Mus musculus: one gene and its partners. The protein of the gene in region 1 purifies or fractionates together with the protein of each later gene. This does not show direct contact. Links are inferred from orthologs where the notes say so. Each region holds a gene or a part of one and is shown in the gene's direction. Other genes may lie near its edges.

Evidence for each region.
Region 2: the proteins of Actl6a (region 1) and Smarcc2 purify together in Homo sapiens (affinity purification with mass spectrometry; 8 studies listed by BioGRID and IntAct, counting the BioPlex papers as one, with this or other methods). This does not show direct contact. The link is inferred for Mus musculus from reciprocal best matches to the Homo sapiens genes ACTL6A and SMARCC2.
Region 3: the proteins of Actl6a (region 1) and Trrap purify together in Homo sapiens (affinity purification with mass spectrometry; 7 studies listed by BioGRID and IntAct, with this or other methods). This does not show direct contact. The link is inferred for Mus musculus from reciprocal best matches to the Homo sapiens genes ACTL6A and TRRAP.
Region 4: the proteins of Actl6a (region 1) and Smarcc1 fractionate together in Homo sapiens (co-fractionation; 8 studies listed by BioGRID and IntAct, with this or other methods). This does not show direct contact. The link is inferred for Mus musculus from reciprocal best matches to the Homo sapiens genes ACTL6A and SMARCC1.
Region 5: the proteins of Actl6a (region 1) and Arid1b purify together in Homo sapiens (affinity purification with mass spectrometry; 5 studies listed by BioGRID and IntAct, with this or other methods). This does not show direct contact. The link is inferred for Mus musculus from reciprocal best matches to the Homo sapiens genes ACTL6A and ARID1B.
Region 6: the proteins of Actl6a (region 1) and Smarcd1 purify together in Homo sapiens (affinity purification with mass spectrometry; 8 studies listed by BioGRID and IntAct, with this or other methods). This does not show direct contact. The link is inferred for Mus musculus from reciprocal best matches to the Homo sapiens genes ACTL6A and SMARCD1.
Region 7: the proteins of Actl6a (region 1) and Smarcd2 fractionate together in Homo sapiens (co-fractionation; 5 studies listed by BioGRID and IntAct, with this or other methods). This does not show direct contact. The link is inferred for Mus musculus from reciprocal best matches to the Homo sapiens genes ACTL6A and SMARCD2.

The regions. Positions count from the first base shown.
Region 1 is NC_000069.6:32,707,343-32,711,345, forward strand, and holds the start of Actl6a (actin-like protein 6A), read left to right. Parts: upstream 1-1,203; 5' UTR 1,204-1,513; coding exon 1,514-1,538; intron 1,539-1,593; exon of another isoform or gene 1,594-2,000; intron 2,001-4,003.
Region 2 is NC_000076.6:128,486,815-128,490,314, forward strand, and holds part of Smarcc2 (SWI/SNF complex subunit SMARCC2), read left to right. Parts: intron 1-440; coding exon 441-822; intron 823-1,119; coding exon 1,120-1,545; intron 1,546-2,081; coding exon 2,082-2,158; 3' UTR 2,159-3,500. UniProt on the Homo sapiens protein: Involved in transcriptional activation and repression of select genes by chromatin remodeling (alteration of DNA-nucleosome topology).
Region 3 is NC_000071.6:144,767,305-144,771,593, forward strand, and holds the start of Trrap (transformation/transcription domain-associated protein), read left to right. Parts: upstream 1-1,489; 5' UTR 1,490-1,543; exon of another isoform or gene 1,544-2,063; intron 2,064-3,784; 5' UTR 3,785-3,845; coding exon 3,846-3,945; intron 3,946-4,289. UniProt on the Homo sapiens protein: Adapter protein, which is found in various multiprotein chromatin complexes with histone acetyltransferase activity (HAT), which gives a specific tag for epigenetic transcription activation.
Region 4 is NC_000075.6:110,135,024-110,138,523, forward strand, and holds part of Smarcc1 (SWI/SNF complex subunit SMARCC1), read left to right. Parts: intron 1-545; coding exon 546-665; intron 666-3,500. UniProt on the Homo sapiens protein: Involved in transcriptional activation and repression of select genes by chromatin remodeling (alteration of DNA-nucleosome topology).
Region 5 is NC_000083.6:5,337,574-5,341,073, forward strand, and holds part of Arid1b (AT-rich interactive domain-containing protein 1B), read left to right. Parts: intron 1-1,642; coding exon 1,643-1,773; intron 1,774-3,500. UniProt on the Homo sapiens protein: Involved in transcriptional activation and repression of select genes by chromatin remodeling (alteration of DNA-nucleosome topology).
Region 6 is NC_000081.6:99,700,907-99,705,086, forward strand, and holds the start of Smarcd1 (SWI/SNF-related matrix-associated actin-dependent regulator of chromatin subfamily D member 1), read left to right. Parts: upstream 1-1,380; 5' UTR 1,381-1,415; coding exon 1,416-1,592; exon of another isoform or gene 1,593-1,884; intron 1,885-2,199; coding exon 2,200-2,387; exon of another isoform or gene 2,388-2,596; intron 2,597-2,684; coding exon 2,685-2,727; exon of another isoform or gene 2,728-2,831; coding exon 2,832-2,954; intron 2,955-3,424; coding exon 3,425-3,547; intron 3,548-4,180. UniProt on the Homo sapiens protein: Involved in transcriptional activation and repression of select genes by chromatin remodeling (alteration of DNA-nucleosome topology).
Region 7 is NC_000077.6:106,270,173-106,274,452, reverse strand, and holds the start of Smarcd2 (SWI/SNF-related matrix-associated actin-dependent regulator of chromatin subfamily D member 2), read left to right. Parts: upstream 1-1,480; 5' UTR 1,481-1,744; coding exon 1,745-1,960; coding exon of another isoform or gene 1,961-2,020; intron 2,021-4,280. Other genes in the region: Tcam1 (testicular cell adhesion molecule 1), read right to left, coding at 802-819. UniProt on the Homo sapiens protein: Involved in transcriptional activation and repression of select genes by chromatin remodeling (alteration of DNA-nucleosome topology).

The DNA.
Region 1 (4,003 bases):
ACTGTTTTTGAATCATTTAAAATGTAGTAATACACACACGGTGGCATGTGCCTATAATTCCAGTACAAGGAGGCAGAGGCAGGAGGATTACAACTTGGAGACTAGCCTGGCCTACACAGTGAGACTTTCTCTCAAAAAACCCAAATCCAAACCATCACTGTCAGCTCACAGCACACAGTGTCAAGTGAACGGGAGAGCATTTTCTTACTAGCGTTATTCCTGAACCTATGACAGACAGGTCAATTCCTGCCACCTTAATGGCAGGGAAATGGATGAGAGTTTATTCAACCCACCTAAGGTTACAAGTAGCCACTATGTAGCTAGACCCTAGACACTTCAATTTAAGCACTGCTACCAGGTACAGAGCTACATTACACTTGAGCTTTGGAATGGCAGGACTGGTTTGGGCCTTTGGTTATATAGATCAGGCTATCTAAGGCCTAGAGAAGCAGAGGGACAAATTGTTGCAGTAATTTGGGGTAAGAAAAGACAGTGTTCTGGGCGACACTGATAGAGATGTAGACTAAGAACAGTAGACACGGATTGGGGAGGTATTTACAAATGGGTGCTTCCTTGAATAGTGCTCCACTTGCTTGGTGAATGATTTTCACAGAAATGAAAGAAACTGAAGTCATGATTTTTAAATGCTATCTAAATCTAGCTGGAAAAATGTACTGTCTTTTAATATAAATAGCCATTGTTTAAAATGATGGATCCTATTATTATATCTGATTTGCTGATTAATTCAAAGTGAAGTGCACATTTCTTTTTCAAGTATAAATGTTAGTTGAAGTATTTCTGCTTAAAAAAAAAAAAATTCCGAATTCATCACAATCAAAGGCCAGGGATCTCTCCCAGGTAACTAACTCAAGTTCCAGATTCCTTGCACTCAAGTTCCTTTGGCTCCTGGGGAGCAGCCATCCTTTAGAACCAGAGCGGTTGATGGCCTGAGGCAAGCCTCTTAATTCCCAGTACCTAATTAACTCACTCTCGAAACCCGGCCCACTCCTGCACCAAGCCCCTCCCACTCGCCCGCCCACCTAAGACTCCTCCTACTCTATTCGCGCGCGAAGCACAGCTCCACCCACTCCCCCCGCCTTGCTCCTGGAAGCTCGGTCCACCCTACCGGCCGCTCGCGAAGCTCCACCCACCTCACCCGCCCGCGAAGCTCCGCCCCCTCCTGCCCGTACCCCAACACCTTCCCTTCTTCTGTCGCTTCTCCCTCTCCCTGCCCCTACGGATGCCTTCCATTGGCTAAGACGGCTAAACCGCGCGGGGATGCAGCAGCGCCACACTCTGATTGGCTAATGACTAAGCCGGACCCTTTGTCATTGGTTGATACGAGAAACCAGCAAGAGTGGCTGTGCAGCGGGCGTGCGGCCGCTGCTTTGTTGCCGGAGGGGGCGGCGTTGGAAGTTGCAGGCTTGCGGGGCCGGCGTTCTCAGGGAGAGGAGTCACGCCGCTGTTATCTTTCGTCCGGTAGTCTTCGGCCAGTCCCCGCCAGACAGTAGCCATGAGCGGCGGCGTGTACGGCGGAGGTGAGTGAGCGCAGCGGCGCCTCGGGGCGTGCGGACCGGAACGACCGGCCTGGTCCCTAGTCGCTTCCGTTTCCCTCCGGTCCTCGGCGGGCCCTTCCGGTCTTTGGACGGTGCTTCCGGTCCCCGTATGGGCCACGGCCTCTCCTTCTCTTCGGACCCGGGCCGGCGCGCAATAGGTTTCCGGCTTGTCCCGTCGCTGCTCCGAGATGGCCTCAAGGAAGGGCCTTGGCGCGTCTTACCGGCTGGGCTCTGATGGCAGTCCCTGGCACGCCGGGTCCCTCACTGTACCGGTTCCGCCGCGCGTTGGTCCCGGGCAGCTCGCGGAGGTTCCGGGCCCCCGGGGTTGGCACTGGGTGCGAGTGGCGCCCGGTGTTGCGGCTGCTGCTCTGGGTCCTTCAGCAGCCACTACAGCCTGGACATCGTTCCAGGCGTGCTCGGTCCCCAGATGAGCGGATCCCTGAGGTACAGGCTGCAGTTCTCCTGTCCGGCTGGGCGGGAGCCTTTTCTAGATCGGCGATAACGAAAACAAGGCTTCTAAGTACTGTTTTGTTTAAGAGTAGTTACCTAGTTAGAGACTCTCCTCTAGGGGGGATGTTGACAGGAGATGGTGCTGCCATCCCTCACGTTAACGAAGAAAAAAATATTGGCAAGAGTTAAACAACCAGCTCAAAGTTTAAAGACTCGTTGTAAATTGGGAGCAAATTGCTTCTGGGATGAGGCAGGGGTATTCCTTTCTCTGCCGTGTACAGGTAACACGCACCCATCAAGAGTTAAATAGTATCCTCACACTAACAAATCTATATCTGCATTGAGTCAGTAGATCTGTGCCCACTCATTTTAACTGCTGTGTAGGGTTTTCTGAGAATAAACTATAGTAGTTTCTCTAGGAACGGTAGTCTTTTCCCTGGCAAGAAGTGTGACAGTAATAATTACCGTTAGCTAATATTTATCGGCTTATTGTTTGTCAGCACTGTAAGTGCTTTATACATTAAAACATTCAAGGCATTTAGTCATCCTATCCTATGAGGTAAGTATTAAATACATTTTTCGGATTAAACTGTAGCAGAGAAGTTAGTAAATTACCCATCTCACATAGTGTATTAGTCATTTTTCAGTTGCTGTGATTAAAAAAAAAAAAAAAACCAAGAAACAAAAAAACAAAATCAGCTTCTAGAAGAAAGAGTTTACTTTAGCTTATGATTCCAGAGAGGTAAGAGTCCAGTTTGAGAGAGGTATGGCAGCTAACAGCAGGCATGATGGTGGGGCAGGAATCTGGGCTCACGTGTCCAACCTCAAGCATGAAGCAGCTGGAAATAGTGGGGGCTTTAAACTCAAAGCCTGTCCCCCAGTGACAGCTTCCTACATCAAGGCCCACATCTTCTAAACCTCCATAAACAGCACCACCAACTGGGGCCCAGATGTTTAAATATCAGCGTCTATAGGAGACATTTTCATTCAAACAGTTGCATATGCATCTCCTTTTAAACTAGGAATTTCTCCAAACTGGGTATGTCTAAACTAAATAGCTCTGTGATTCTCTTTGGGTGCCTCTTTGTAACTAGCACCAAACTGGGTAGATTGGGCATAGATTGGCTTTAACTAGAGAAACAGAAGAACTTTTAAGGCCTTAGCATTTGAGTAATGTAGGTAAGTAGGATTAGTGTTTTAAATTTTGAGGGGGACCCCATTGAAAAACCAGTACTGAGAAACCCAAGTGCATTATCCTAGGAGGCCTGCTGTTTGGGGTGAAGTATTTGGAAAATATACATGGAGGCTTTTCTCTAAATTAGACTGAAAAAGATTGCCAGCTTTTTTCTTACCACTAAACTGTCTCCTAAAGTCTGGAATGTGTAACTTAAATGATACGTTCATTAAATGCTTTTTACTTGGCCTGTATAAATTACACTCTAATTTCCATGCTGTGCAGTTTTCATATTTTGCTGTGTTTCTTCATTTCATGAAACAAAACATAATTCCCCATAATTGATGAAATTGTACTAGGATGTATTCGGTGGTTTTTATTTTTCTTTCCTTTGTTTGTTTGTTTGATTTGTTTTGTGCCACCAGATTCCCTTGCTGTCATTTATACACATCTTGTGCCTGTAGAGATGGCCTCTGGGCTTTCTCAGCCTCTGGTTTCAGCTTTGAACTTTGATTTGGTGATGGTAGGGTAACTATACTTTTTGCCTGTGCTTTTTGTTTTAGTATAATCGTTAAAAGCTGGTGTTCCCCACCCAAGTTAAAATGCCCCAATTTGGATGCTGCATTATAGAGTCTTCCTGGGATTGCAATCTGAGCTTGGCCCTCCCTCCCTGAATAGGCAGCTTAGCTCTGCATCATTCAGCTGTTACCACAGCTCTCAGCAGAAACCTTCTAGGTTCTGGGAACAGTTTCTTCTTGTTTCCTCAGTTTAAGGATTATGAGGGCAGTCCTTTGTTCATCCTTCTGTACCTGGACTATAGAAG
Region 2 (3,500 bases), on another chromosome or scaffold:
TTTTTTTTTTTTTTTTTTTTTTGGTTTTTTGAGACTGGGTTTCTCTGTATAGCCCTGGCTGTCCTGGAGCTCACTTTGTAGACCAGGCTGGCCTCGAACTCAGAAATCTGCCTGCCTCTGCCTCCCGAGTGCTGGGATTAAAGGCGTGCGCCACCACGCCTGGCTTGTAGCTGATTTTGAAGGAAGGAAATAACTTGAGTTGACAGAAGCTGGAGGCATTTTCAAATCAGAGTACTAACAAATCCAGCCCGAACTCTGGTGCAGTGAGGGCAGTGCAGGTGGCCTCAGGTCTGCAAGGACAGAGGAAGACATGGCTGAGTCTTCAGCCATGGTGAGACACCAGCATGAGAGATGGGGTCTTCCAAAAGAGGAAGTGGGAGGCAAGGCAATTGCCAAAGGTCTTCTGGTACCCAGTAACAGTTTTCCATTGGTACCGGCAGCTGGAATACCAGAGGCAGCAGCTCCTGGCCGACCGGCAAGCCTTCCACATGGAGCAGCTGAAGTATGCAGAGATGAGGGCCCGGCAGCAGCACTTCCAGCAGATGCACCAGCAGCAGCAGCAGCAGCCACCAACCTTGCCCCCAGGCTCCCAGCCCATACCTCCCACCGGGGCTGCTGGACCACCTACAGTCCATGGTCTAGCTGTGCCTCCAGCCGCTGTGGCCTCTGCCCCTCCTGGCAGTGGGGCCCCTCCTGGAAGCTTGGGCCCTTCTGAACAGATTGGGCAGGCAGGGACAACTGCAGGGCCACAGCAGCCACAACAAGCTGGAGCCCCTCAGCCTGGGGCAGTCCCACCAGGGGTACCCCCCCCTGGACCCCATGGTGAGTGTGGGTTCCAGGATATGTTTGCTATAGAGCTACAGGCAGATGTTCTGGTTCCTTTGAAGGGAATACCTTGGGTATAAATGTTTGTTGCAGTTCCTACAGGTGAACTCCATTGTATTCTGTCCCCAAACTAGCAGGGATGTGTTCCCAAACACAGATACATGGAACTTTATTCCACGAATCTACAGCTTATTCTAGTGCCAGGAGAAAGGGGATAGCACCAGCAGGTAGCTGTGCAGCTTGTGCGGTGGGTAAGATTCCACCCCCTCACCCTCGTGTTCTCTTTATTTCTAGGCCCCTCACCGTTCCCCAACCAACCAACTCCTCCCTCAATGATGCCAGGGGCAGTGCCAGGCAGCGGGCACCCAGGCGTGGCGGGTAATGCTCCTTTGGGTTTGCCTTTTGGCATGCCGCCTCCTCCTCCTGCTGCTCCATCCGTCATCCCATTCGGTAGTCTAGCTGACTCCATTAGTATTAACCTTCCCCCTCCTCCTAACCTGCATGGGCATCACCACCATCTCCCGTTTGCCCCGGGCACTATCCCCCCACCTAACCTGCCTGTGTCCATGGCGAACCCTCTACATCCTAACCTGCCGGCGACCACCACCATGCCATCTTCCTTGCCTCTCGGGCCGGGGCTCGGATCCGCCGCAGCCCAGAGCCCTGCCATTGTGGCAGCTGTTCAGGGCAACCTCCTGCCCAGTGCCAGCCCACTGCCAGGTGAGAAGGGGCCAGGAGGGGAAAGGGTGAGGGAGAGGGCTCTACATTATGGGAGGGAGTCAAGTAGGGAAAGGGCTAGATCCTAGAATTTCCACAGCCCTGTTCAATGCTGTGATAAAACTAGAGCACAGGAGGAAGGCCTCTTTGGCTGTCCTCCATTTCCCAACTGGGCAGCTGCCACCGCTGGGGTGACAGGGCTTTCACTGGTGGGTCATGGAGGAATCCAGTGGTTCAGAGGACCTCAGCTGTAAACCTGGAGCCTAGCTACCGTCTGCATGGCGATGGCTTTCCTTGAGTGTTCCCACCACATTCAGATACCCTATTTAGACCTTGGGGAGAGGAAGAAGGTTTGGGATATAAGGTTTTTCCAGTGTCAGGCGGAAAAGAGTGTTGAGAAAAAGAAATTACACATAGTGGGTACCTCATTCATCTACCCACCCACTGCATGCCATGCCCAGTTCTGTTTGTGTGTGGAGCCTGGGACTGGATCAATCCCTCTGCGTGCTTCAGCTTATTCATCTTCCTTTTCTCCACAGACCCAGGCACCCCGCTGCCTCCAGACCCCACAGCTCCAAGCCCAGGCACAGTCACCCCTGTGCCACCTCCACAGTGAGGAACCAGCCAGCCATCTCTCCCCCTCACTCCCCATGGAGATCACAGTTCCAGGAACAGCCCTCCCCCACTACTGGGACCCTCCCTCAGCCTGAAGAGTTCATCACTACGTAAGGAAAGCTCCTCCTGCCCCCTCACCACCCCCACCATGCCCAGCAGAGGTGTGCAGTTTTATATCCAATTATTATCCACGGACTTCTGACTAAAAGATGTTTCTAATGCCTGGGAGAGAGAATAGGAGGGAAAGATGTTTATACGAGGTTCTACTAACTGGTTCTGAGGGTCTACCCCTTCAGAATTACTGCATTTTTGAAGTGATAACATGAAAATGAAACCCTTTAAAAGGGAGGTTTTAAAAAAAGACACTTCGGAGCCCACAAAAAAAGAACTTTTTTAATTATTATTATTATTATTTTGAGGGGAAAGGGCAGGTTTTAAGAGGAATTAAATTTCTGGGGCAAGGTGTGAGGTGGAATAGGGCACCGAGCCTGTCTCCCTGAGCCCTTGGCAGTGCTGAGTCAGCTCCCCTCACCCATTCCAGTTTATTCATACAAATCCCTCCTGCTGCTCGTCATGGTTGCTGTTTTAGGCCCAGTTCAGCCAATGACCTTTTCCTCCAGTCAGCTTTGTGTTTGTGTTTAAGTCACCTGCTTACTCGTCAGCGTCTGTGTACTTGTGGGAAATGTAGTTTTCGGGGATTCTGTGGTAGGAAATAGAGGAAGAAGGGGCCTCAGTTGGGCTCTTCTTCCTGCTTTCCTAGTTGTATCTGTGAGTGCCCAACAGGCATCAGAGGGGGAGCTCTAAGAGGATGGGGGGCCTGCAGACCCTCAAGTTTGAAAAGCACTTAAGCACCTACTTTTGACAGTGGGACAGTCTGCTAACTTCTGCCCCCACCAACCAAGCCTGACAGAACCCAGTGATAGCTAGGAGTTCCCCAAATGAGGACAAAGATTTGGGAGCAGTGCAGCGTGCCTCTGCACTCCAGGTCTTCCTCTTCACCCCCTACTTGGAGGCAGACACAATTCCAGGCCGCACCAGAGCCTGGCCCCTCCCACCAGGCGCTTTGCTCCTTCTGTCCCAGCGTCTCCTTCCTCTGCATCTCCACACCTTTCTTCTGTTCAAAGTCTTCTGTAAAATTTTCTTTCCTTCTTTGTTCTTTTCTTTTTCCTTTTTTTTTTATAAATTAATTTGCTTTCAGTTCCATCTTGTGGGTGCCTCTGTGTTCTCTTAGCTGTGGCTGCTAGGCAGGGAGCAGATTGGGCTGGGGCAGCCTTCCTGGAGTCCCTCACTGGACATTCACCAGGGTTGCAGAGGCCCACAGCCATCAGCCTCTTGCCACAAGA
Region 3 (4,289 bases), on another chromosome or scaffold:
TTGTCTTGAAGGGAGGGCATCAGCTACAAGCGGGACAAATGTAGTTGTCTCAGGGTGACCTAGCAGCATAACACCCGAGTTTGCCTTTAAGCCAACTGGATGTCAGTCTATCTGCCCCTATCCCAGGCTGGTCTCGAACTCAGAAATCCGCCTGCCTCCCCCCCCCCGGCCCCCCCCCCCCCCCCCCCCCCCAGTGCTGTGATTAAAGTCTTGCAGGAACTACTTCACTCTCAGGCGGCTGATCAGCAATAGAGCGCTGGCCTAGTGGATGTGAAGCCCTAAGTTCAACACCCAGCATTGCTGGAAGAGGAAAAATAAAATCTCAGGGAAGGAAGTCCAGCCCTGAAGGCCACACATACACACACACACACACACACACACACACACACACACAGCTGGCCTAGTGGATGTGAAGCCCTAAGTTCAACACCCAGCATTGCTGGAAGAGGAAAAATAAAATCTCAGGGAAGGAAGTCCAGCCCTGAAGGCCACACATACACACACACACACACACACACACACACACACACACACACACACACACACACAGTGAACCAACTGGAGAGGTATTTCGGGTGTCAATCACCCTTCAGTCTGGTTCCTGCGAGGAAAAGGGACACGGGGTTGGGTGTGGAGGCGATGACGAATCTTGAAGCTGCAGCAGCCCAGAGCCCCACCGGCCTAGGTGCTCAGCAGATAGGTCACCCAGGCGATGATTTAAAAGGACAGCACGCCCACCCAAGGCGGCAGACCGCCCCTCCCTGCCCCGCTGCCCGCCCAGGCCGCACCCACTTGGGGGCGGTGCGCCCGAGCTTAGTTCTGGTGGGCGGACGCCGCGGCTTTAAGCCGGGGCGGGACTGAGCGAGGAGCAGCAGCGGCGTCGGCGGCGAGAGTTCTTGGGGACTCGGGCCCGGATGCTGGGGGCTAGTCGGCAGGTCCCGGTAAGCGCAAGGGAGGGCGGGTGAACGGTCCCGGGAGATGCACGCGCGTGCGTGTCTCAGGCGTGGGAGAGAGTCGGTGCAGCACGACGGCTCCACGGAGAAGTGGAGAAGGCTGTCCCTGCTTGACCGAGGTCCTTCCGGCCCCCCAGGAGCCCTCCTAAACTAGATCAGCCACACTGCAGCATTTAGTCCTCCGCGGCGCCGGGCTGCGCTGGAGCGGATGGAGGGACGCGCAGCGCTAGCGGCCGCGGAGGTTGGCCCTCGGCGCTTGCCGTAGCTCAGCGGCCTGCTGGGGGGCAGTCGCTGAGAGTCCCGGGAAGGATCGGCGACAAAAGGAGGGAACCCGAAGGCCGTTTGCGACGCGAAGGGATTGAGTGAGGAGTCGAGGGGGCTGCGGCACCCCACCAAAGCCATCCTGGCATCTGCGGGCCTCCACGCAGGCTCCTGGCTCTCTGGGCCAGACGCTGAGAGTGAAGGTAGCGGCGGCTACGGCGCCCCCTGGCGGCCCGGAGGCGCGTTGTCCAGCCAGCCGGGCGTCGTGGGCGGGGCGGACCCGATGGAGGACGGCGGGCTGTGGGGCCGTTTGCCTTTTCCTTACCTGGGTGGGGACTCCGTGGGCTCGAGGGCATCCAGGCCTGAATCCATATCCTCTCGAAAAGCTCAGAACCTCCTTCCAGAATCCACAGGCGGATAGGGTAGCCCCCTGCTTTCAGGTTCTTGGCCCAGGGAGAAGCTAGGCCTGGTCCCTGGGAGGATCGGGTGGGAGCTCGGAAGTGGCACTTTTACTGAGTGGCTTATAAAAAGGAGATTAAGTGTCGCAAAAGTTTGCGCAGATGATTGGGCTATAGCTCAGAGGGTAGAGTGTCCCCCTAGCACACCAAACCCTGGGTTCGATTCCCCAGAACCTCCTAGCCCTGGGGTGATGGTACACAGGCCTGTCAGGGGTCGGGGCTGGAAGCTCAACAATCAAGGCCAACCGTACATCTACATCAGCCTGCTCCTCCTACCCGAGCTACACAACACCGCCTCCACAGCAGAAAAGCTAGATAAAAAGTTTGGCCAGGATTAGGGCTTCTGTTTTGTTCTTAAGAATGCCTTGACCCTGAGTCTAGTTAATAGTCGGTGAGTATGAGGGACCTCCAGTGTTTGAAGGAGGAACTCTGATAGGAAAAGCAAGAGTTTGCCAAGTCACGGTAGCAAGGCTGATAGTATCCTTAGCTTTTCTCTTCTCTCCCTAGGAACAGGGTCTCTGGTATTATGTAGGCCTGGCTGGTCTAGAACTCACAGAGATCCACAGAGTCCTGGGGTTAAAGGCGTGCACTGGCACACTCAGCTTTTTATTTTTTAAGCATTTGCTTGTTTGTGTATGTGTGTTCGGCATGCATGTGGAGCTAAGAGGTCAGCCTGTGGGACTCAGTTCTCCCCCTCCACCCTGTGGTCACATATCAAGATAGGTCTCCAGGTTTGGCTCCAAGCGCTTTACCTTATGAGCCAGGAGTCAACGTTCCTGTTTTCCAAGTCACTGTGGTGCTTTTAAAGTATGCTTTGGGGCCGGTGAGTTGGTTCAGTGGGTAAAGGTTGCTTGCTGCCAAGCCCGATGACCCGAGTTCAATCCCTGAGACCCACACGGTGGATGGAAGGAACAGACGTCCCACAAGTGGTCCCCTGACTTCCTCATGTGCTGTGTGGCACACACCTTCTTCCACCCCAGTTAAGAAAATGTAATGATAAAAAGCATGCTTTGTGTTTTGTGCCTCGACTGTAGATAAGATCCACAGTCTTTGAGGTAATGCTTAGGAGAATAGTTTATTATTTATACAATACTGGGGGATAAAACCCAGGACAAGGCTCTACCATGATGTAGTGTGTATATTTTCCCAAGGTCTCAGGTAACCCTGACTAGCCTAAAATTCACTATGTACAACAGGCTGGCCTCTTGTCCCCTGCGTGCTGGGATTAAAACCATTTGCCCCCATGCTTAGCTGGTTTTATATTTTCTTAAACTGGTTGGGGTGGGATGGGGGGAGTATTGAAGAAGAGTAGTATTTCATGATGAATTCAGATTATGCAAAAGGTGTCCTTAAGCCCTCCTTTTTGTTTTGTTTTTTTGTTTTTTGAACACCGCTGTTGTCATTCATTTATGTGTTAGTGACTCCTTCCTGAGTGCTGGGGAACTGGGTAGACATTGCACAACTACAAAGATTCAAACATTTCCTGTGTGGCTCCCCCCACCTCCTCCATGACACTTTGGAGATAGTGTCTTATGTGTCCCAGGCCCCCATCTGTACTTCTCCCGTGCTGGAGAGGTTGTGGGATTACTCCGCTTTATGCAGGGCTGGGAATCAAGGTCAAGGCTTCATAAACATGCTAGGCAAACCCTCTCTCCACTGAGCTATAGCCCCAGCTCTCCCTCCATTCTGCACAGCTCGTTGTACAAAACGTTTGCGATCTCCTGGTTTGTTGAAAGAAGGCTATGTAACGGGAAAGAAAAGCTTCCATGTTGAAGAGAATGATGTTGAAACAGTGCATTTGGACACACTGTCCACAACAAAAACAACCCACAGAAAACAGTGATTTCCGCAAATCCTTTAGAGCTTGGGCAGTGGAACAGCTCAGCAGGTTTCGGTTCCAATCACCAGCCCTGATGACCTGAGTTCGAGTCCCTGGACCTCTGTGTGATTCCTCTGACCTCAATACATCTATTAAGGCACAGGAACCTCCCCCCCCCCCCAAACACAATGAAAATATGAATGTAATTTTAGAAAGTACTGAGGTAAAATATTTCACAGGTTACAAGCTCCCCATGTCCCTGCCAGCTGCTGACGGGATGTCTCTCTTCACAGGCTGGATAAACTCATGGACTTGGCAGCTCAGGCTTGAGAAAAACACAAACTCAGAAGAAAGATGGCGTTCGTTGCAACCCAGGGGGCCACGGTGGTCGACCAAACCACTCTGATGAAGAAATACCTTCAGTTTGTGGCAGCTCTCACGGATGTGAATACACGTGAGTCTGTCCTTTTTTGCACACTGAGAGGAAGAGCAAACCTTAGTGTTTGTCCTTGGTCTCCCCGTCTACCTTGTGGAGAAGCACAATGATGAACAATACTGCTGGAGCCACAGAGAGGCACAAGTGTGTGTGCCAGATTGCCTGTGTGTATGTGTGTCCTTGTCTGTGCATGCACACGTGAGTCTGGGAGGATGGATGTGTGTGACTGGTGGTAGGGACCTAGCCCTGTGCCATCTTCTGGGCTGTGACAGTCAAACTGATAAGATCTGATTGCTTCTCTTCAGTCCCTAAATCCAGTGATTTTTGAAGCCTCCCTAAGGCAGTTTCAATGAGCTGACTGT
Region 4 (3,500 bases), on another chromosome or scaffold:
GATTTGTTTATTTTTACTTTATGTGTATTGTTTTTAATTTGCATGTATGTCTCTGTGAGGGTGTTGAATCTTCTTGCACTGTGGATATAGATGTGAGCCGCCATGTTGGTGCTGGTCCTTTGGCAGAGCATCTTAACCACTGAGCCATCTCTCCAGCCTGGTTTTCTTTGTGTGTGGGTGTGTGTTTATGGGTGCTTTTCCTGCGAGTATGTCTGTGTACTCCATACATGACTGGTATCCTCAGGCCTGAAGAGGTCGTGGGATCTCCAACTGGAGTTAACAGACATTTCTGAACTGTCATTTGGGTGCTGGTAAGAGCATATAGTCTTGATTGCTGAGCCATCTCATTAGCATTTATGCTCTGCCTCTAAGTATGTACATGATGGGTTTTTATGATTCTTTATAGTGGAGAATGAACTTTGTACACCTAAAATGTGGTGCTATGGTACTGTTACTTAGTAAGTACTAGGAACTAACATAACATAGCTTTCTCTCCAGCATTAGCTGTACCAGGTTTTAAATCCATGTCTTTCTTTATCTTGCAGTATGTTCATGCAGATGCTCCTACCAATAAAACACTAGCTGGACTGGTGGTGCAGCTTCTACAGTTCCAAGAAGATGCCTTTGGGAAGCATGTCACCAACCCAGCTTTCACCAAACTACCTGTAAGTGCATGAACTTGTTAGTAGGCATCTCCAGTTTCTGTACTTTTAGGTGTTGCTTTTAGTTGATTTCCCTTACTATTGCCAGGCAATATAGGGAGAAGGGGGAACAACTTGTACAGAGGAGGTGTTTGTTTGTTTGAGACAGGGTTTCTCTGTATAGCCCTGACTGTCCTGGAACTCTCTGTAGACCAAGCTGGCCTGGAACTCAGAAATCCACCTGCCTCTGCCTCCCGAGTGCTGGGATTAAAGGCATGCACCACCACGCCGCCTTGTTTTTGAGACATCCGCCTTGTTTTTGAGACATCGTCTCACAGAGCCCAGGGCTGGCCTGGAGCTATCTGTATTAGAGGCTAGCCGTGAACTGTTCCTTGAACCTTTACTTCCTGAGCTGGGATTACTGGAGTGTGCTGTCATCTTCAGCTTAGTGGTGGAATTCTTTTGGGCTGTGCCATTTAATCTCTTGTATATTCTGCAACAATCATGGAGAAGTAATATTCTGCTATGGTTGCTCTCTGCTGTGTTGTCTATACTGATACTTGTCTGTTAGAGTACTCTGTGTGTGTGTGTGTGTGTGTGTGTGTGTGAATTAAAAATTTTAAATTTATTTACTTATGTGTGCTTGTATGTGTATGGACACATGCCTGACACAGCAGGCTTGTAAAGGTCAGGCCAGCTCCCAGGAGTCGATTTTCCCCCCATGTGGGTCACAGGGAGCAAACTCAAGTTGTCAGGCTTGGTAATAAGCGCCTTGACTTGCTAGCTTCCTTCTCTACCACATGAAGTATGTTTATTAATTTACACAGAGGAAAGCATTGACCAGGATGAGTGTCCTCGGCAGTCAGATAACTGGAATACTCTATTGCAGAGCCACAGCAAAGAATGCTTACACAGAATTGGAGACCTTTTGTTCTTTCTGGTTTTTAAGCCTCGGGCCTTGTGCATACTAGGCAAGTTCTGTAACAGTCTGATTTGACTGGTTCACATTAAAGGTCTGTGATAATTTCTATACTTGTAAAATTATATAAAGGGACAGTGAGGTGGCCGAGCAGATGAAAGCACTTGCTACCCTGCTCTGATAGCCCAGAGTTCCATCTTTGGAACCTGCACAGGGGAAGGAAAGAACACAGTCTCTTAAATCACCCTTTATGTTAGCACTAGTGCTATAGCGCTTGTGTGCCCTCCCACAAAATAAGTAAATACAGTGTTGTGTTTTGTTTTGTTTTGTTTTTCACACAGGGTTTCTCAATGTTACTAGCCCTAGCTATTCTGGACTCACTTTGTAGACCTCCAACTCACAGAGTTCCGCTTGCCTCTGACTCCCAAGTGCTGGAATTAAAGTCATACACCACTGTTTCCAGCTAATAAATACAAATTTTGTCAATTAAAAATCCTTTTTCTTTCTTTCTTTTTCTTTTTTGGTTTTTCGAGACAGGGTTTCTCTGTGTAGCCCTGGCTTTTTTTGTTTGTTTGATTGTTTGTTTGCTTGTTTGGTTTGACTTTTTTTTGAGTTTCTCTATGTAGCCTTGGTTGTCCTTTAATGTAATCTGTCAACCAGGCTAGCCATGAGCTCAAAGATTCTGCCTCTGTCTCTCTATGTCTTAAGTATTGAAATTAAAATTGTATGTCACCATGACTGGAGAGATGGTTTGGTGATTAAGAGCACTGGCTGGTCTTCTAGTGGTCTTGGGTTCAATTCCCAGCAACCACATGGTGGCTCACAGCTATCTGTAATGGGATCCAGTGCCCTCTCCTGGTGTTTGGAGACAGTGGCATTATACTCAAACATGAAATAAATAAATCTATATAAAAAAATTATATGTCACCATGCCCAACTAATAAAAATTCTTAAATGACTATACTTTTAACTTTTATGTACCTGTGTGTGTTTCTTTGTGTGGTATGCACATAGCGTATGTGCATATATGCAGGCAAAATGCCATACACAAAATAAATCTAAGATATATATAGCAACATAATATTCAGTGTAGTCTATCAAATGTCACATGATTTAGAGTAAAATCTGTGCATATGTAAAGTACTTTTTGTTTCAGAGACAGTCTCTAGCTATGGCTGTTATAGAATAAAGCTTTTTATTTGGTTTTGATTTTGTCTGGTATAATGTCTAGTATAAATATACACACCTTTTATCCCAGCACTTGGGAGGCTGAGGCAGTTGGATCTCTGCATTCAGGGCCAGCTTGGTCTATATAGTGAGTTCCAGGACAGCCAGAGCTGCACAGTGAGAAACAAAACAAAAATCAGATGTGTTTTTTTCCTCTCAAAATCAGCGTTTTCTCAAATGAGTTTTCTGGTTTGTGATTCTGTAAAAGGAAATTGCATGAGAAAGACAGTTAACAGTGTCGGTACTTTATTTTTTGTTTTTATTTTTTTGAGACACAGTTTCTGTTTTGTAGCCTGGCTGTTGTAGAGCTCACTCTAAATCAGGCTGGCCACAGCTATCCTTGCCTCTGCCTTGAGTGCTGGGTTTAAAAGTCTGCATCACTGCTAGGTCCTTCCTGCCAACTATTTATTTACTTTTTTTTTTTTAACATTTATTTATTTATTATAAGTACACTGTAGCCGTCTTCAGACACTCCAGAAGAGGGTGTAAGATTTCGTTACAGATGGTTGTGAGCCACCATGTGGTTGCTGGGATTTGAACTCAGGACCTTCAGAAGAGCAGTCAGTGCTCTTAACCACTGAGCCATCTCTCCAGACCCCTATTGATTTAATTTTAAAGATTTATTTGTTATTATACATAAGTATACTGTAGCTGACTTCAGATGTACCAGAAGAGGGTGTCAGATCTTATTATAGGTGGTTGTGAGCCACCGT
Region 5 (3,500 bases), on another chromosome or scaffold:
TATGTGCTGGCTTGAGCTTCAGGCATAACCAAGCTGCTTGACTGCTACAGTGGATGCTTAAGAGATCCACTGGAGGCCAAGGAAACTGAAGGCCAGCGACTGGAGTGACAATATAAGATGAATTCCCATGGGGAAAATAGAAACCTGGCTATGCTATATAGGGAGGTAGATATGATATATGGATGGTCTCTGCTATGATATATTCAACTGATGTAATCTACACCACACTGGCAGATACAGGCCAAGGAGTTAACCTCAGCTGAATGCTAATATTGCTCGCTTACCCTCTGCGAGGCGATGGGAATACTAATTAATGGTCTGGAATGCCCGGTAGTTAACACAGCTTTTTCTGCATTCATTTTGAAGTTCTTTTAACACAGCAGAGGAAATAATAGCTCTTCGTTGTGTAAGAAAAATTTTTTCAAAGATTTCGGAATCAGTTGGCGTAAAACCATTTGCTGTGATTAGAAAATGAAAACTATTTAATTAATGATATTAAAGATGTTTATAGTTGTTAGACATTAAGATGATACATAATAAGAAAAATATGGTATCTTTTATATATGGGAGCTGTAGAGATGATGGCGTATAGATACTGAGCCCTATTTTATAAACAATGAAAATGAAATAGCTATTTATGTTTGTGTGTTTAAATAGATACACATATCTACTTTTTGAAAGCATATATTTATGTGGTATTTTGCCTGCACGTATATCTGCATTATATGCATGCAGTGCCCGAGGAAGCCAGAAGTGGGTGCTAAAGCCTCAGGAACTGGGTTGCAGATGATTGTTAGCTACCATTTGGGTGCTGGGACCCTAACCCTGGTCCTGGCCAAGAACCAGTGTGCTTAACCACTGAGCCATCTCTCCAGCCTATATCTGGTTTTGAATCTTCTTTTGTTTAGTCCAGTTTCTATCAGTGCTTGCCTTCAACCTAGGGAATTTTTCTTTTCAAAAGTCTGATTCCTTGTATGACAAAAGTCATGTTTTCCTCTTAAAAACCGTGTAAAACAAAAATCACAGTAAAGATGCCCTTGGACACACAGCCCTCCTCACTGCACCATAAGTGGCTGTGGTAAGTGGGTAGATCAGGACCCTCTCTGCCACAGGTCACATCGCAAGCCCCTGCAATTCTGAAAATCTCCCAGTACAGACTCAGGATATGAGGAGTCCCCAGTGTACCCCCATCCTCAGCAAAGCTGATGTCATTTAGTCATACTTTTCTAAGGGCAGGAGTAGGAAGAGTGACAGAGAGCGCAGACTTTCAGTCTCCTACTCCTAGGCACAGCCACAGCCGGGTAGAGGTGAGAGAAGAGAGACCTTCCTCTGACCTTACACTGTTTGGGGGGCTACAGTTTTTTTCAAGCCAGCTCTGCTGGGGTTGGCCCAGTTATGCAAGCCTGGTGCACCCTTACCAAGTGGTAAAAGAAACACCTAAGACGACAAAGGCCATGCGTGCTGCCTGGGTACTTGGGGCTCCTGTCCTACCACCAAGCAGGAAGGATCTTAAAGAACAAAGTAGTGTGTTGAGTTACCATCTCCTGCTAACGTCAGATGAAGCTGCACAGCTGACTGCTGCCGTCAGCACTCTGCTTTCTCCTCCAGAGCCGAGGTTCATAATACCCGTTCTCCTTTTCAGTTACTCCCGAGGCGTGGCGTGTGATGATGTCCCTTAAATCGGGTCTGTTGGCTGAGAGCACGTGGGCTCTGGACACCATCAATATTCTCCTCTATGATGACAGCACCGTCGCCACCTTCAATCTTTCCCAGGTGAGGCAGCTGCACACAGCTGGCAACAAGTTGGCACGTTATAAAATGAAGTAATGCATAATGCTGTGCTGGTGCAGTGACCATCCAAGACTTGGAATCTTTGTAGCTAATATAAAGCAGCATTAGTTAATATGTAGCCGCCTATGTACTCAGTCTGGGATAATAATTCATTTCCATCTTCAGGGTGCGTGCGTGTGTGTGTGTGTGTGTGTGTGTGTGTGTGTGTGTGTGTCAAAGAGAGAGATAGGAACAAAGAAATTGTTTCAGTAGGAATAATTAAACACCAACATGAAGTTGGAACTGATATGAGTTACAGAAAGTACTTCTCAGTACAACTTAATATCTTTCTTTTTACGTTACTGATTTGTAATTATTTGTTTGAGGCAGAGTCTCATGTAGTGCAGCCTTCAACCAACTATGTGATGTAGACCTGCTCCCGTGTGCTGAGGTTGTAGATGGGTACTGCCACATCCCATGCTGTGTCTTTTTCCTCCAATGGAAAAGAACACATTTAAGAGAACAGATCTCAATGGGCCCTAGGTCCCCACCAGCAGCCGTGCCTGCCTCCAGGTCACCTCCCCACATCTGCCTTTCTCCTCTGGGTTGTCTTGAAGTCCTCACTTGAAACCCTGCTTCTTCCGGGAAACATCCCACAACACCCTCACCCAGCCCCCCAGTTCGGAGCTGGCCTTAAAGTAGCTTGTAGCAGTTTGACTAACAGCAGGAAGCCTGAGAAAATCGCCTGAGTCAGTGAGGCTATGGGCTTTAAACTGGTGTTTAGGATAAAAATGAGAGGCTTGTTCTCCCTGTGGGCTGTAAACCGCTCACCACCTGAAGACTCCGGGCTGGCTCTCTAGTTCTCTGCCCTGCTGTTGAAATAAGACCAGAGCTTTCCACCACCCCCTTTCTTTCTACTTTGTCTTCGGTGTAGGCCAGCAGCAATTCTCAGCTGGTGGAGTGTACTAATGTGTCACAAACATCACATGCCCTGATGGTGGTGTTTTGTGTTTAAGATGTGTCCTTAAAATCATGTGTTCTCCTCTAGAACCTCCACCCTCACGGTGGATGAACTCTGCCTGCTTGTACGGTTTTATGCCCAGAAGTCCTCGATTAACCCAGGGAGACTTGTGACAGGGAGGGAGAACCACCCAGACTTCCCCTAGGGAGGATACCTTCAGAATCACAAAAGCGACTGCTTGCTACAGCTTATGTCCCCTCGCCTGAGACAGGTGTGCCAAGCCCTGAGAACAGAGAGGAGATGTGACACCGTGGTTGGTTTCCACAGCATCAGTCACACAGAGCCCTCATTGCACGTCCTTACAGCCCGAGTAAGGCAGGCAGGAGAGCTCGGCTTCCCACAGACCGACTCTGCCAGTGGCTCTTGTCTTTCATTTAGCATTGTGAATAACTGAAATGTAAAATTGCATTTTATAAAGCAGTCTCCTTCATTTATCAGGGACTAAATTGATTTGTTTATAATTTTCATTCTTTATGAAGCTGCTACGTTACTGAGATTATCTCTTTCAAAAGAGAGAGAGAGAGCATAAATCAGGGCACCTATGGCACCTGAGACAAGAATAACCATAAACCCTAAGAATAATAACCATAAAAAGCCCAGCAGGCGACTCCCACATAAACAGTAGAGGAGCAAATAGATTCACTTTGGGTGCAAGAGTCTATAAAAGCCTTGCTCCTGCTCCTCACAATGCACCCCCTAAGTCATGCAA
Region 6 (4,180 bases), on another chromosome or scaffold:
CCAAAACAGGACTTATGGGCAGATCACCTGTGTACGTTGGCCTGGAGCCAGAGAGCAAGGCTTTGGCATCTTTGAGACCTCTTGGTTCTCAAGAGTTGTTTAGAGATCAGAACTCCCCAGAAAGAAACAGGGCAAAGCTGAGAAATGTACACTGGCTGGGGGGGCAGCAGGAGGGGCTCTGGGTGACGCATGCCTCTGGTCTAATAAACTGGGTTTCAACCATCTCTTCAGTGTTGGTTTTCTGTTTGTTGTTTGGTTTGTTTTGAGACAGGGTTTCTCTGTGTAGCCCTGGCTGTCCTGGAACGGCTCTGTAGTCCAGGCTGGCCTCGAACTCTCACAGAGATCCTCCTGCCTCCCAAAATGCTGGGATTAAAAGCCTGAGCTGCCATTATCCTGCCCAGTGCTGTTTTTAGTTGCAAACTGTGGGTGTTACCTTTAGAATGGAGCTTGCCTTGAGAGCCACACAACTAGAGTAAGGGAATTTGAGTGGTAGCCCGGTGTGGTGGTTATACCTGTAATTCCAGCAGGTAGGAGATGGAGCAGCTATCTTCCATTACACAGTGAGTTTAACGCTAGATTGGGCTACACCAGACCCTACATACTTGATCAGGTAAACACTGATCCTGCTGGGAAAAGACAGGCTCAGGATTCGTCTGATCACTGGGCAGGGGACCAGCAGTTATCTATGGCAACAAATATCCAGGACTCTTTGGAGAAAAGTCACGGGAAAAAACGCATCAAAATCTTAAGTTAAACGTCTGAGGTGAAGGGTCCCGAGCCTTCTCTGTGTATCCCTGGCTGTCCTGGAACTCACTCTGTAGACCAGGCTGGCCTCGAACTCAGAAATCCGCCTGCCTCTGCCTCCCAAGTGCTGGGATTAAAGGCGTGCGCCACCACGGCCCGGCATGGGTTTTCTCTTGCTGATTTGTCTTTGCCACGACATTGATCTCCTTCGAGTTCTACTTTTCCCGAACGAACAAACAGCACGTTTTCCTCTTTAGTACCCGGAGTCTGAGCAGTAGGAGAACGAAAAGCAAGGCAACCAGAATGCTTTGGAGAGGTAAATGCACTGGGCCAAGGTGAAGCATCACTCCAGCCGCCAGCCGGATGGGCTGGGCTCTCTGCAAGGCTTTTTACCGTCCTCCAACCGCGTGGAGGCGCTCGCTCCCGGCACCTCTTTATCCGCACACCGCTTCTCTATGGTGCTCCCTCCTGGCCCGTGAAGGCGGGAGGGAGTGGTCAGCACGCCTTTCCCGCTAGTCGCCCCCTCTAGCCCGTAGTCTCGCTGCTCCGAGCCGCCTGTGCCCGCCGGCGGGCCGGGCCCACAAACAGCCCAGGCGCTCGGGGGGCGCGCGGGGGGCGGGGGGAGTTCCGGTTCCGGTTCTTTGTGCAGCTGCAGCGGCGGCTCCGGGAAGATGGCGGCCCGGGCGGGTTTCCAGTCTGTGGCTCCGAGCGGCGGCGCGGGAGCCTCAGGAGGAGCGGGCGTGGCGGCTGCTCTGGGCCCGGGCGGAACTCCCGGGCCTCCCGTGCGAATGGGCCCGGCGCCGGGTCAAGGGCTGTACCGCTCTCCGATGCCCGGGGCGGCCTATCCGGTGAGTGGGACAGGAGGAGGGGCGCGCGGGCCGGGGGCGGGGCCGAGCGAGGGCGGAGGACTGACAGGGGTGAGGGAGAAGTGGGAGGGACTCCCTGGGGAGGGGCTCGGGCCGGGAGTGGAGGTGTGTGGGGGGGGAGGAGGTTAGCATCCTTACCTGCTCCTGGCGGCATTGTTTCCATGTGAGGAGTGAGTGTGGAACCAGGGTGGGCGAAGTGGGCCCTGGGATGGTCATGGAATGCAGAGGGGAGTGGGCAGCCCCCGTGTCCCCAGGAATACCCAGGCTGTTATAGCTGCAAATGGAGGTCAGCTTTAGAGGAGACAGTAGCTAGTAAAAAAAGAAATGTAGGGCTGACTAGACATGTCTGGTGAGTCAGATCCAGCATAGACCAGAAAAATTGAGTATAATCTAGTTTTTAGACTATATGCAATGAAATCACTGAAGGTCCAGTGACTGTATTTCAAAGAAGCAAAGGACTGTCTTGTTGTCCCCCCACCCCACCCCCAGCCCTAACCCACTCCTGAAATCCAGGCTGCCACCATTTTTCCTTTCTTGGTGGGGCTAGCAAGGAAAAGTATGACATTTCTGGGTCCTCTCCCTTCTGTAGAGACCAGGTATGCTGCCAGGTAGCCGAATGACACCTCAGGGACCTTCCATGGGACCTCCTGGCTATGGGGGGAACCCTTCAGTCCGACCTGGTCTGGCCCAGTCAGGGATGGACCAGTCCCGCAAGAGACCTGCACCTCAACAGATCCAGCAGGTCCAGCAGCAGGCGGTCCAAAATCGAAATCACAAGTAAGATGACCCCTGGGGGTGAAGGAAAGAAGGGTATGGGGGAGAGGAGGCCTGTGAGGATGCTGGTGGTGGGCATGCAGAACCAGGAAGTCAGCGCTGTGGCACCAAACGGTGCTGCAGGGACTAACAGGGCCTCATGATGCAGTGGAGTTTTGGTGGTCATGGGAGAGGTAGCGTCTTTAAATGGAGAGTCATTTCGTAGGCCTTGGCTGTAACCATAAACAAAGGTGCTCACAACACTGCTCACGTTCTGACTAGTTCCTATCCCAACCTGATCACAGTATTTATTCTGAACAGTGCAAAGAAAAAGAAGATGGCTGACAAAATCCTACCTCAAAGGGTGAGTGCAGCTGCAGAGGTCTCCTTGAAGGGGTAGTGGCTTTGAGAATAGAAGTGGTCAGAACGAGGGCTGCCCCATCCCATCTCTGTCTTTCTGTTCCTAAGATTCGGGAACTGGTCCCAGAATCACAGGCCTACATGGATCTCCTGGCTTTTGAAAGGAAACTGGACCAGACTATTATGAGGAAGCGGCTAGATATCCAGGAGGCCTTGAAACGTCCCATCAAGGTAACAGGACAGTACCAGGCTGAGGGTCAAGGGAGGGGCCCAGGTCTCTCTCCAGCTCAGGATGGAAAAATCAAAGGCACAGCACAGCTCTCTGTGGCATTTAAATTGCATCTTTCCCTTCCGCCTACAAACCAGGAATTACATTAGGAGCATAGGAGTCTAACAGCTGGCAGGGAAAGGGGCGGGGGTGGGGGGTTGGGGGGGAGCTATCCAGGGCTCTAGACAGAAATAGACCCGTGCGCGCTTTTTGCTGTAACCACTTGCTACCTTGGGAACATGCCACTTTGCACAATTTTGTCTCCCTAGTCCCCTGGTGCATTCACTTGCACCCAGGCTCAGGTCGGGACTGTACACTTCCGAGTGGAGTCTCTGTCCCCTGTAGTGAGCCAGCCAGTGAGGAGTCACTTGGGAGTTTTAGGGGACCTTTACTACCGAAGCTCCACTGTCGATCCTGTTTCTGCCTTCCTCAGCAAAAACGGAAGCTGCGAATTTTCATTTCTAACACGTTCAATCCGGCTAAGTCGGACGCGGAGGATGGGGAAGGGACGGTGGCTTCCTGGGAGCTCCGGGTAGAAGGCCGGCTCCTGGAGGACGTGAGTTCAAGGTCCACTGTGGTTGGTGCTCAGGGAGGGAGCTGCAGGGGTGGCACTGTGCCGGGTGCTTGGTGCGGTGTGCTCAGCAGGAAACCTGACTGCAGTTCACCACTCCTGCTGGGAGCTTCCGGGAGGGGGCTGGGGGGCTGTGTTCCCTGCATACAAAGACAATGGTCCTTTGTGTCTGCTTCCTCAGCTGCACGGTTTTGTCCTGGGGTCTGGGTTGCTGTTGACTTGGCCCTGGTGATGCTGCCCTTTGGATTTAGCAGTATCAGTGGATGATCTCAGTGGTCCCCATCCCTGCCCGCCACCCATCTGTGCTGAGCCTTTGAGGCCATGTTTCCTCCCTTGAATCCTTGAGGTTATTTCTGTGTTCCCAACTTTCCTTGGAGGTACCACAGTTTAAGTGTGAGAGTCCCCCAAAGGCTTGGCTCTCTGTTGCTCCAAGGGGATCATCAGACTAATGAGCACCCCCAAACTCTCCACCCAGCAGCTCATGCTCACCCAGTGCTGCGCTCTGGCACTATATTTAGCTGTGCAAGTGAGCTCGTTCGAGTGCACTTTTGCTGGAGAACCAGAGCCTCCTGTGGGTAGTCCGGGCTGTTTGCTGGTCATGTGTTCTGTCCAGATAAA
Region 7 (4,280 bases), on another chromosome or scaffold:
CATCTCTGAAAGCTCAAAAGCTTTGTGGCACACAAGTGAGATCAACCCACCTACAGGACAACTCTTTATTGGACAAGTTAACAAAAGCAGTTTAGTCAAAAGACCAAAGCCTATGTCATCTTTGGCCAGCCTGGTCTACAGACCTAGTTCCAGGACATCCAGGGCTGCACAAAGAAATCCTATCTTGAAAAACCAAAAAAGAAATACAGAATCTTGTACCCTGCCCCCATTTCATTGAACCATAAACCACATTTTAACAAAAAGCTCGGCTTTCTTCTGATATAGGGTCTCCTGTAGAATCAACTGGTGATGCAGCTGAGAACCATCCTGAACTTCTGGCCCACCTGCCTCCTCCTGTGTGCTGGGATTTTGAGGATGCACCACCATGTAGTTGATGCAGTCTGGGGTTCAAGCCCAGGGCTTTGTGCACGCTATAACCTGAGTTACACCCCCAACCTGATTCTGAGGATTTTCAGTGCCTAGTTAAGTAGCACTATTCTATACCGTGGGTAGGAGATACCACATTGACAGAGGGTAGGTCTATAACATAGCCGAAGCCAGTGGTTTCTGAAAAGGTTCTCAACTTTTCTTTTCTTTTTTGGTTTTTCGAGACGGGGTTTCTCTGTGTAGTCCTGACTGTCCTAAAACTCACTTTGTAGACCAGGCTGGCCTTGAACTCAGAAATCCACCTGCCTCCGCCTCCCAAGTGCTGGGATTAAAGGCGTTTGCCACCACGCCCGGCTGATTCTCAACTTTTCAAAACTAAGTCCTATACAAACTGGATAAAACTTATTTCAGTACCTGGAGTTCTCTCAGCATGCAAAATCCCTTCACCTAAAAACATTTTCTGCGAATTACCAGGCTTCCTTAAAGAAAGGCACGGGCAAGTTAGTGCAGTTAAGTACTCGGAGTTGGGCCAAGCCAAGCTTTCACTCAGCTGGGTCACGTCTGGGGCCGCCCATGTCCTTGGAAGCGCGGAGCAACCAATACAGGCTTCTGGGGGTAGATGGGTGGGTGGGTGTGGGGTGCCTTATGCCACCGGCCCCGAGATGGGCTCTTAAAAAGTGGTTGGCGGCTTTCCCGCCGCGGATCGCTTATTTTTAAGGCTTGAAGACGCAGAATTGACGGAACTGTTTTGGATGGGCCATATCGGGGATCTCGCCGAGGCAGCAGCACTACGGAGCAAACAGCAAACACCTAACAGTTCGGACGGCCCTACGCGACCTTCGAACTCTGACCCCACGCCTTTCTCCTCCGCGCTTCCGCGTGCAGCTTCCGCTCCCGCTCCTCCGGGAAAAGGCCGCCTCCCCCAAGGGCGGGGCTCTAAGGCCGTCAGTTATGGGAGGTGCTGGTTTGAGGCGGGTCTCGCGAGGGCGGGATTTAAAGAGGCATTCTCGATTGGGTTGCCGGGCAGGGGCGGGGCCTGCAGGGTCTAGGTTGGGCGGGGCTGGGAGTTCGTAACCGCCTCTGGGTAACTGGACTCCGGCGATCAAACCTCCGGAGGCCGGGAGAGGCCTGCGGGCTCGCGGCACATCCCGGATCTGGAGTATCCCTGGCAGGAGCGGAGTCAGAGGGGCCGCGGGATCCTAAAGCCGGGCTGCAAAGAACTTGCGAACTTGGAGTAGAAGATCCCGGAACCCGGTAGTAAAATCGGGAAGTCCCGGATCGCGGAACGTAGCTCGCGGAGCGGACTCAACACGGAGACCGGAGGCCGGATCGCTGCACCGCGGGACGGGACAGAGTGATGTCCGGCCGTGGCGCGGGCGGGTTCCCGCTGCCTCCGCTGAGCCCCGGCGGCGGCGCCGTTGCCGCGGCCCTTGGTGCGCCGCCTCCGCCTGCGGGACCCGGAATGCTGCCCAGCCCGGCGCTCAGGGGCCCGGGGCCTTCTGGAGGCATGGGGGTACCGGGGGCCGCCGCCTTCCGCCCCATGGGCCCCGCTGGCCCCGCGGCGCAGTACCAGGTGAGGAGGGCAGGCGAGCGGCGCCGCGAGGGCGCTGTGTCGGTCTCCCTGGGGCCTCAGGTGAGGACAGGCGGCCCAGGGGACACTGCAGGAGGAACTGTCGAGGGCTGGTGGCGGGCAGGCCAGAGTCCCTTGGTTAGTGGCTCGGGGTTGGAGGCAGTGTTGGGGAAAGGGTGAAAGCCCTCTGCGGTGGAGGGCTTGAGCAGTTAGAGGAGTCCCGGGGCTTCTTGGCTCCGAGTAACTTAGAGATGGAGGCTTCGTGAGATCTAGAGAATTGTGGGCAATCAGGTTGAAAGTGTAAGACAGGTCCCGGAGTGGAGGTGAGGGAGTGACCCGGGATGTGGTGAGGAAAATTTGGAAGAGGGTCGTTAGTGAGAAAACAGGGTTACTCTTTCTTTGGCCTCGGTCCCACTGCATCTCTGCCTTGGCTTTCTTTCTTTCTTTTTTTTTTTTTTTTTCTTCCTAGTTGGGAACTGGCAGAGCGTTAGTATGTCTGAGATGGCTCCCAGCTGCTCAAGTTGAGGAGGAAGGAAGCCAGGCTTCCTACGAAATGGGAGACTAAAGAGATTGGGCCCAGATAACTCCAGGATAGATTAGAAATAGCTGTGTCCAGGTCTGAAGAAGGCCCGATCCCATTAACAGACCATTCAAGATATCCTCTGTACGGGGCTTTCCTTCTTGATGCCAGTGTCCAGTAAAGTTTGGAGGAGCAGGGAGGCTTTGTGGAGTCCTGCTGGTCTTGGGCTGCACAGGGTACTGCCCTGACCCTTCTGTCTTGGCAGAGAGCTGTCTCAGGTTGCAGCATCAAAGGCCATTGACAAGCAGAGACAGGACCCGTGGTCAGTGCATTGGGAACTCAGCCTGATTCTGCATGTGGCGCTCCTCATTCCCCAGAGCTCTGGTTCAAGTGGCTCCAGAATGTTTGGGAATTTTGTTTTGCTTTTGCATTTTGGTGCTGAGCATGGAATCCAGGCAGGGCTTTGCACGTGGCAGACGATTGCTGTATCAGGGAGCTGCACCTCCTTTCCTGGGGATTGTGCCCATCCTTCTCCCACATCCTTGTCACTTTTGTTACTTGCTTTTTGATACAGGGTCTCATATAGTCCAGGCTGGCTGTGTAGCCAAAGCCCACCTTGAACTCTTTTCTCTCAAGTGTCTGGCATTACAGTCACACACTATCACGCCCAACCTCTCTTTCCTTATCCCTCAGGTTCCTGACAAGGCCATATGTCTCTCAACCTATGTGCCAGAGAGGTGAGAGGTGTGCACTGTAGCTTGCTCTGTCCCCTGCTGGTGTCTCTAGGTAGAAGTCTCAGAAATAGATCTTCATGATGTATGCATATTCCACCCAGGAATCAGATTTCTTTTTTTTTTTTTAAAGATTCATTTATTTATTATATGTAAGCACACTGTGGCTGTCTTCAGACACACCAGAAGAGGGCATCGGATTTCGTTACAGATGGTTGTGAGCCACCATGTGGTTGCTGGGATTTGAACTCGGGACCTTTGGAAGAGCAGTCGGCGCTCTTAATCACTGAGCCATCTCTCCAGCCCAGGAATCAGATACCCAGGAGATACCTAACTGGGGGTCGGAGTGGGGATAAGTGACCCCCTTCATTTCAACTCCTATCTAAAAAGAAAATGACGAGTTTGGGTATAAACAGAGATAGACGTGGTTCCAAGGATACTAGCGGGGTTTATCTTTCCCATGTGGCTTTCTTTGGAGATTCATGGGCCTAGTATATCACTGATGAGTCTCTGCGTCAGCCCTTGGCTCTGCTTGTTTAGAGCTGGTCTGGAAGCTTCCTACAGGCACTGGGGATGTCTGTTTGGTTGGTTGGTTTTCCAAGTCTCTCTATATAGTCCTGGCTGTCCTGTAACTCACTATGTAGACCCATTTCCTTGGAAAGCAGCTGATAGAGAACATGCCATTGGGAAAGCCCCTGTTGAAGACTGGAAGATGGATTCCTGCATATTTTGTAGAGTAGCCTTGGGTCTATGCTGAGGCCAGGCTGGCCAGCCAAATGGCTGCGGCTGCTAGTTGTGAGAAAGGAGATAGCCTTGAATCTGGGCATCCCATACCAACTATGTTTCCTCTCCCCCTCCTCCTCCTCCTCCTCTTCCTCCTCCTCCTCCTCCTCTTCTTCTTCCTCTTCCTCCTCCAGGGAAAGGCAGGGGAAAGGAGGGAAGGAGAACCCAGTTAGCATTGGTTGAGTTTGAAGGAGATCCCGCTTGCTTCTTCCCATGTCCAACTTCCAGCAAGTCTTGGGATCTGAGGCCAGAGGGGCTCCTGGTTAGAGTTCTTGGGGTGAGCAGACTT